2 linked regions of the Sus scrofa genome follow. The protein of the gene in region 2 interacts with the protein of the main gene of each other region in a biochemical or structural test. Links are inferred from orthologs where the notes say so. Each region holds a gene or a part of one and is shown on either strand. Other genes may lie near its edges.

Region 1 (4,591 bases), on a different chromosome or scaffold from region 2:
CTTCGGGGAGAGAGGGGGCAAAGGCTAGAATGGGGCGGGAGTTGGGGGTGGTATAGTTTGGGCTGGCGAGGGGACAGTGGCCACAGCTGGGCCAGGGTCTCAGTGTGGCCACTTTGGGTAGAGCAGGGGCAACCGTTGCAGCAGGAGACAGTACAGGCCAGGAAAGGCATGAGATGGGCTGGGGAGAAAGGGTCCCCATGTGGCCAGGTAGGGGCACAGCCTGCTCAGGGTCAGGATAGGCTGGCCAAAGGTCAGGGTTGGGTGGGAGGACTCTATTCTGAGCCCATAGTGCCTGAGCTCTGTGACTTGCTGATGAATGAATGCATGAGGGGCTAGAAACAGGTGCCCACCTGGACACCCATTAGGTGGACAGCAGAGCTGGGACATTCACTCTGGTTCTCCATGGCCACCTGGTCCCCTGTCTAGCAGAGGCTGCTGATTTCACTCTTGCTGCACCCCCACTTGCAGCAGTTGCTGGAGAGGCCAGCCAGGACATCACGACTGCCCCTAAGAGCCCCAGGGGTTCTCTGCCAGCCTGGTTGAACCCCATAGAAGGTCTCAGGGGACTTGGTCAGGGCCAGCCATTCGCTGGAGGCCATTGCCTCGTCCAACTCGCTGTCTGCGTTGGAATCTGTGTCTGAGAAGACATCCCCTGCAAAAAGATGAAAAGAGTGAGTGCTTGGGATTCAGCTCAGGCCACACTCAGAGTTCTGGCTCCTGGCTGGTCCAGCCACTTCTCTGTTCTTGTGACTCAGCCTGTTAGTTAAAGATTTTTTTGTTTTTGTTTGTTTGTTGTCTTTTTAGAGCCACATCTAAAAAGAAAAAAAATTGTGGCCAATGACATGGCCCCGTGGGACAAGGACAGGTGCAGCTGGGCCCCTGGCAGTGTCCTGGAGGCTCCTAGCAGCCTTGGGGTCCTCAGGGAGGACTGGGGGGTGGGGGAACACAGGGCTTAGGACAGTGACTCTTTTTTTTTTTTTTTTTTAGGGCAGCACCTGTGGCATATGGAAGTTCCCAGGCTAGGAGTCAAATTGGAGCTGCAGCTGCCAGCCTAGGCTGCATCCACAGCAACTCCAGATCCGAGCTGCGTTTGCAACCTATACAACAACTCATGGCAACACTGGATCCCCAACCCACTGAACAGGGCCAGGGGTTGAACCCTAATCTTCACGGATACTAGTTGGGTTCATTATCACTGAGCCACAAGGGGAACTCCCAGTTAAAGATTTTGATGCCACTGGTACCTGGGTTCCAGCTTTGATGGGCAGCTTACTCGACCTCACTGAGCTTGGCTTTCTGCTTCAATCATTTTCTTTCCCCTACTATTTATTTGTGGAGGACCTGATGGTTAAGAACATGTGTTTGGGAGTTCCCGTCGTGGCACAGTGGTTAGCAAATCTGACTAGGAACTGGGAGGTTGTGGGTTCGATCCCTGGCCTTGCTCAGAGGGTTAAGGATCCAGCGTTGCTGTGAGCTGTGGTGTAGGTCGAAGATGTGGCCCGGATCCCAAGTTGCTGTGGCTGTGGTGTAAGCCAGTGGCTGTAGCTCAGATTAGACCCCCAGCCTGGGAACCTCTATATGCCGCAGGAAGCAAACCCTAGAAAAGGCAAAAAAAAAAAAAAAACATGTGTTTGAGAGCTGAACTGACTAAGCACCAATCCAGCCTCTCTGAGTGATAACCCTGAGCAAGTGAATTTACTTCTCTGAGCTTAAGTTACCTTGTCTGCAAAGTGAGGATAATAATAACTCTTATCTTCTAGGATCTCGTACCCAGTAGAAGACTCAATACCCATTAAAAACAAAAACAAAAACAAAAACAAAAACAAAAAAAACGGAGTTCCCATCGTGGCACAGTAATTAACGAATCTGACTAGGAACCATGAGGTTGAGGGTTCAATCCCTGGCCATGCTCAGTGCGTTAAGGATCTGGAATTGCTGTGAGCTGTGGTGCAGGTCGCAGACACAACTGGGATCCTTCGTTGCTGTGGCTCTGGCATAGGCCAGCGGCTACAGCTCTGATTAGACCCCTAGCCTGGGATCTTCCATATGCTGTGGGAGCGGCCCTAGAAAAGGCAAAAAAACCCCAAAAACAAACAAACAAAAAAACACTTAAAACAGTGTCTGGCACATGGTAAGCACTCAACTGTATGCTACTCTGTCTTGCCTCACTTTTGCCACTTAACACCTGCAGGATACAGGGCCTGTGCTCCTATTTGCTGTTAAAGAGGATCAGGGAGGGAAAGCAAGTTGGTAGGAGGGTCACCTACTAGGTGGCAAATCTAGCCTTGGATTCATCACATCCCTCACACTACCTTCCCCAAAGGGTTGGAAAGCACTTTAGTTTCCGCTTCTGAACGGCACATACCAGGGTTTTGCAAACAGCAGCCTTGCCTAATGCAGGGCTCACACATAGCAGGTGTTCCAGAAAGAGTAGCCTGTTCTCTGACTTTTAGCTAGGGTGAATGGCTTGCTGTCCCCACACACACACCACCCCATCCCAGCTCCTCTGCTCTGCTAATTGGCTCCTCCAGCCTTGGCACAGCTTTGAGGGCTTGGCTGTCTCCCCAGTTGCATGTGGAGGGAAGGGACTCTCTTGCTCTTCATCTCACCTCCCTTCCTGGCTCCTCGGACCCTTGTCCTGTCTCGTCCACCCCCCTTCCCCACACACATTACCTCCCCAGCCTCACCCAGAGCTTCATGGGCCAGCATGTCCGACCGTCTCCACCGGGAGCCCCCGCAGGTAAAGATGACCGCTCGGATGAATTCACGGCCGCAAAGCTTCACTCCATAGGGTGACGCCCGGGCCTCAGTCCTCAGCCACAGCTCCCCAGCCAGCACCCATACGGCCAGCAGCAGCAGCAGCAGTGGACGTTTGGCCATTCTGGACGGGCTGCCTGAGATGTGAGAGTGGACGCAGCAAGGCAGCTTTCTGATGGTTGGTGCCTCCTGGACCCCCATTTATACATCTTAGCTCCCCCCACCCACCATGGAAGAGCCAAGTGACCTCCTTTATCTCCTCCTGCAGAGGGAAGGCGGCACAGCACCCACCCCACCCCGACCTTTTCCATCTCCCAGACCAAGCGATAACCTTTCGCCAAGGATGGGGTGACGTGGTCCAGCACACTGTCATTTTCAACAGAGAGAGGCGAGAAGGTCTCCATTCAGCAGAGACCAGGAACCCAGACCCCCATCAGACCAGAAGAGGGGTCACAGCCAGCCCCCCATCACCACCATACTGCTAGGGTCCCAGGGCCTCCTCTATAGTGACAACAACAGTAAGTGCTTACGCAGTATGCACTGTGGGAACTTCAACCTATGCCACAACTTGTGGCAAAGCCAGATCCTTAACCCATTGAGCAAGGCCAGAGGCCAACTTGAATTGGAGGGCTTGTTAAAACACAGATCTCAGGAGTTCCCTGGTGGTTCAGTGGGTTAAGGATCTGGCATTGTCATTGCTGTGATTTGGATTCGATCCCTGGCCCAGGAACTTCCACATGCTATGGGTGAAGCCAAAAATAAACAGAAACAAAAACAAACCATAGATTGTTGGGCTCTGACTGCAGAGTGTCTGAGGATCTGCCTTTGTGACAAGTTTCCAGGCCATTCTGATGCTGCTGGTCCAGAAACCACACTTCTGAGAGCCACTGGACTATGAAATCAAGACTAAGATTAAATCCATGTTACAGATGGGGAAACAGAACAGTGACACAAGGTGCTCAAGATCAGCTGGTAAGTGGAGGTGGGAGTTGGGGTTAACAGAACCTCTGGCTCCAGAATCCACACTCCAAGCGAAAGTTTTTAAGGATTAAAGAAAAAAAATGTTTTGGGGACAGAGCTTCAGTTTTGCAAGATGAAAAGGGTTCTGGAGGTAGATGGTAGTGAAGGTGGAACAATGGTGTGAATGGACTTCATGCCACTGGATTGGAAGCTTAAAATGGTTAAATGGTACATTTTATACTATGCATTTGTTACCTTTTTTTTTTCTTACCACCCTGAGGCATATGGGGTTCCCAAGCCAGGAATCAGATCTGAGCCGCAGTTGTGACCTGTGCTGCAGCTGCAGCAACACCAAATCCTTAACCCACTGCACCTGGCCAGGGATTGAACCTACGTCCTAGTGCTACAGAGACACTGCCGATCCTGTTGCTCCACTATGGGAACACCTATTATCACCATTTATTTATTTATTATTATTATTATTATTTTATTTATTGTTTGTTTGTTTGCCTTTTCTTGAGCTGCTCCCGCGGCATATGGAAAATCCCAGGCTAAGGGTCTAATAGGAGCTGTAGCCACCAGCCTACGCCAGAGCCACAGCAACGCAGGATCCAGGCTCACAGCTCACAGCAACACCGGACCTTTAACCCACTGAGCAAGGGCAGGGACTGAACCCGCAACCTCATGGTTCCTAGTCGGATTCGTTAACCACTGCGCCCCGACGGGAACTCCTATTATTATTATTATTATTTTTGTCTTTTCTAGGGCTGCACCCAAGGCATATGGAGGTTCCCAGGTTAGGGGTCTAATTGGAGCTGTAGCTGCTGGCCTACACCAGAGCCACAGCAACTCGGGATCCAAGTTGTGTCTGCGA
Region 2 (4,452 bases):
TGAAAGGGCGCATGCTGGTGAGAGAAGGCGACGCGATGCGCCACAGTAGGTTCTTGAGCGCTTTGCGGAACTCGCGGCGCACGAGGCAGTAGAGGATGGGGTTGAGACAGCTGTTGGAGTGCGCCAGGCACACGCTCACAGGGAATGCGTATACCTGGCACAAGAAGTACTCTTGGCTGAAGGGCACCACGTTGAACTTGATGAGGATGCTCCAGGTGGTGAGCGCCTGGTTGGGCAGCCAACACAGGAAGAAGGATAGGACCACGATGGTCACTGATTTGGTGACCTTGGAGCGTCTTCGGGCGCTGGCTCCGGCCAGGCCTCCCCCAGCTGCTGAGGCACTTCCTTCGGTCCCAGCCACGCAATGGTCGGAGATGAAGCGCACCAGCAGCAGATAGCACAGGCTGATGACGCCCAGTGGCAGCAGGAAGCCCAGCAGCACCTTCTGCAAGTGGTAAAGGCCCAGCCAGAACTGCCTGTCGCGCCCCAGCAACTTGTCTGGGAAGCGCACCAAGCACAGCTCCTCGCCCATCACCTTGATGGTGGTGGAGAAGATGGCGTTGGGCAGCGAGGCCAGCGTGGCCGCGGCCCAGATCAACACACACAGAACTTTGGCTGAGAAGCAGCAGCTGTCCCCCAGGCTTCGGCCGCAGCAGTCACCCCGGCCGTGCCCTTGGGTCCGGTGACTCTTAAGAGCCGAGGCCACCGAGTGGTAGCGCGCCACGCTCATGGAGGTGAGGAAGAAGACGCTGGCGTACATGTTCATGGACGTCACTACGGATACGATCTTACACATGGCCTTGCCAAAGGGCCATTTGAAGTCGAGGGCGTTTTCCACCGCCCAGAAGGGCAGGGTGAGCACAAACTGAAAGTCTGTCAGCGCCAGGTTGGTGACGAAGAGGTTGATGGAGGACTTGCGCCAGCCCTGCTTACTCTTCATCAGGTAGAGCACCAGCAGGTTGCCCGTCAGCCCCAAGGCGCAGACTACCCAGTACACCACGCTGATGAGAATCCGCACCCGAGCCTCGGTGTCCGCGGTCTCTGCCCCGCCGCCGCCCGGGGGGTGCCCTGGCGCCGCGCCGTCCGGCAACTCCAGCCCCAGCTCCCACAGCAAGTCCTGGAGCTGCAGAGACGCGTTGCCGCTGGTGTTGGCCGCCTGCAGAAGGTCCGGGATCAGACTGAAGAGTTCTGCAAGCTCGTCCCCGCCAGCCGCCTTGTTCATAGTGGCTATTGCGACTGCAGTGGCCACCTGCCTGCGCAGGTGCCTCTAGGTCGTATTTCAGGGATAGGACCTAAGGGAAACCAACTCTCGCGGGGTCCCGGCGTGCGTTGAGGCTTTTAACGCAGCCGCGGAACAGAGCGCCTAGAAACTGGGCTCCAGGCGCGTTCTCGGCGCGCGGAGCTTGGCCTTGGGAGCGGGAGCTGCGCTCAGCGTCTGTGCGGGAGCGGAATTCGAGAGCAGAGGAGCAGAGTTCTTAAGGCAAGCAGTCGGCGTCCAGCCAAGGTTGGCGTCTCCGGGTCCCTACTGTAAAACTCAGACTTTCCTCCTTGCGTTTTCCGCTGTCACTTAGGCACGAGCGCATCCCACCCCGCCGCTCGAGAAGGCTATTGAGGGCCCGCCCCTTGCCTTTCAAATACCTTTGTCGATTTCCTCCGCAGCTGCTTAGATGAGGTTTCTGAAGAGAGTTTCGTCTACCTGGCTCTGACTCTCTGGAGGTCTTTCTATGCTGCCCTCTCTGCCTCGTGTCTCGGTCCCTCCGCTGTTGTCAACTCCCAGTGACTTGTCAGCGGCGTTCCCGCGAGTTATATCCCCACTCGCAGAGCCCAGGCTGCGGACTCCCAAGGAGCATGCGTCATCCCCAGCACAGCCAGAAGGGGCGCTTTCCGAGGTGCTGAACTTCGCCGCGTCCGCCGCGGGGGAGGGGGGTGGTGTTGCATAGCAGGCAAAGCACAGCTGCCAATTTCCCTTTTCCTCTTCAGTTTCGAAAGGAAATGGTCATAACCCTTTACTTACCTATGTGACTGAAGAAAGTCTGCTTTGATTTGCGATCGCTTTTATTGCCAAACAGAGCAAGCAGAATTCTTTCTTTCTCACTCCCAAATGCACGCTCTTCTGCCCATTTTTCTCTTTTAAAAACGAAGATAGTGGCTTCTTTTCATACCCAGACCTTAAATCAGATCGTGGGCTCTTGTTGAATACACAAACGCCAGCCCCACTTCCCCTTATTAATTAGCTGATCACTTTAATCGGTGCCTGGGATTGTCAGGATTTTCAAAGCGTCTTCACATAACAGAACTCTGGGTTCAGGTGTTGCCCTCTGCCTAGATGTATTCTGAGAACTGAAGCTAAGCAGAGCGTATAGTCGGTGCACCAACCTCACAGACAAGAGATGGTTAGCTCTCAGCCCAGAGTTCTTCAACCTACTGCTTACTCACCACCACACTCTCTTTACCTTGATGCAGTTGGAATAGAGAATTTCATAGGGCTGTCTTTGGACCACCAGCCCCTTATTTCCAACACTATTATAATCAAAACTCTTTAACAGGTGTTTTTTGTTTGTTTGGTTGGTTTAGACCAATGAAGTAAATTCCAAGGAATCTTTTTAGTTCCTTTGGGCAAGGGGAGCTAATATAAACCATTTGAATTACTTATTAAATTGCAGTTTATTTAAGTGCCAGATCAACTGCTCTGGTGTAACATGTACACTTCTTAGGATGAACTCAAGAAATTTGAAATGTTCTCCTCACTGTCTGAGACGTATTAAATTGCAGTTTATTTAAGTGCCAGATCAACTGCTCTGGTGTAACATGTACACTTCTTAGGATGAACTCAAGAAATTTGAAATGTTCTCCTCACTGTCTGAGACGAAACTGTAACAAGAGTATCTTAAGCATAATTGTCCTCATTCCTGCAGAACTGGGAACTCTACCTAGAGAGATAAAGAGATTATGACTTTAAGGCATAAGAGAGAAAAAACCATAGTGAAAAAGAAACGTGGTACCCAAAACATATGAAGGGAAATGGAAACAATCTTAATTCTTTTTTATGTGTTTATTTTTATTTTTTATGTTTTGAATAATTTTTGTAAAAATTTATTATAGTTGATTTACAATGTTCTGTCAATTTCTGCTATACAGAAAAGTGACCCAGTCTCACACACACACATATACATACATAGATGTATACACATTCTTTTTCTCATATTATCTTCTATCATGCTCTATCACAAATGAACAATCTTAATTCTTAAATGAGAACACAGTTCCAGAGAACACACTTCACTGTAGTCTCTGGACTGCTCCGCTTGCCCGCTGGAGGGCGCCAGGGCTTTAATAAAAACGAAAACCAAACCAAACCACAGCCCTCCTGCAGTTCTAATCTGGAGAAGCTCAGCCTTGCTCTGAACCATTACATAGGTTGCGAACCCCATTACATAGGTTGTGAACCCCATTCCCATAGTAGTCTCATCTTCAAGCTCACTCCTCACTCCGGTTTTTGCTAGCTCTTTCTCAAACAATTTTTTTTTTTTTAATCTCTCCTTTAGTTAAAAAAATGTCAAGGTTTTTTCCTTGAAAAACAAGGAAGTCTAGGGCACACATGGAAAGCCCTTTGCCTCATTTTCTTTGTGCGTACATGGGAGGAATTGTGATTTTCAAATAGTCTGAGGATAGGTGCTGAGCAGGTGGGGAGCTTGCTGAAATATAATTTGCAGCTCTCTTCCCAGCCCCATGCAACTGCAGAGGTTCTGCTTCTCAGTGGAGTTGAAAGGGGCCCAACAATCTACATTGTAGCAACCCTCTTCCAGATGATACCAATTTTCTCCCAAGTTTGGGAATTTCTGGGTTAACTTTTATTCCTTTCCTAACTCTCCACGTGAAATAACTTAAGTCCCAAAGAAGAATCAATGTCCCATGATGGTCAATTACACAGTAAGATCGGAAGCAAAGGAAGAGAAAGAGGTCTTGCTGAGTTTTTTTAAAATCACATCTAGGCCTGACAGTGACATCTTCACTGTAGGATGGACTCCTACAATGTGCTCCTGAGGTCTCCCAGGCCTTGAGTTCTTGGCCAGCAAGACTCACAGTGAGACCCCAGGAGAGGCTGTTCCCAAGAGTGACGCCCAGAGAACACTTTCGGAGTGCTTCCGAGCCTCGAATGCTCTTCATTTCCCAATCTGTTGTCTGAAAATCAACTGCAGATCCTGTGCAGGAATGTATAGTATCGCTCAACTAAGCCTGTCTTATTGAAGCAAAAAATCCTTTTTCAAAAAATTCTTTTCCCACATGACCTAAAGATATTTTACTCGTTTACCTTAAAGCATGGACCGTGTTTTTCTAAAACAGCATCTAAAAGATTCAGAGGGAGAAGCATATTAGTCCCAGCCAAATTTCATTTAAGTCTACTGTTAAAACATTGCTAAAATCTTACCATATAAATTCCTAATGGAAAAT

The links.
Region 1: the proteins of RXFP3 (region 2) and RLN3 form a complex in vitro, tested with the Homo sapiens proteins (2 studies listed by BioGRID, with this or other methods). The link is inferred for Sus scrofa from reciprocal best matches to the Homo sapiens genes RXFP3 and RLN3.

The regions. Positions count from the first base shown.
Region 1 is NC_010444.4:65,150,057-65,154,647, forward strand, and holds RLN3 (relaxin-3 precursor), read right to left. Parts: upstream 2,881-4,591; coding exon 2,688-2,880; intron 653-2,687; coding exon 423-652; downstream 1-422. UniProt on the Homo sapiens protein: May play a role in neuropeptide signaling processes. Ligand for LGR7, RXFP3 and RXFP4.
Region 2 is NC_010458.4:19,947,437-19,951,888, reverse strand, and holds the start of RXFP3 (relaxin-3 receptor 1), read right to left. Parts: upstream 2,994-4,452; 5' UTR 1,223-2,993; coding exon 1-1,222. UniProt on the Homo sapiens protein: Receptor for RNL3/relaxin-3. Binding of the ligand inhibit cAMP accumulation.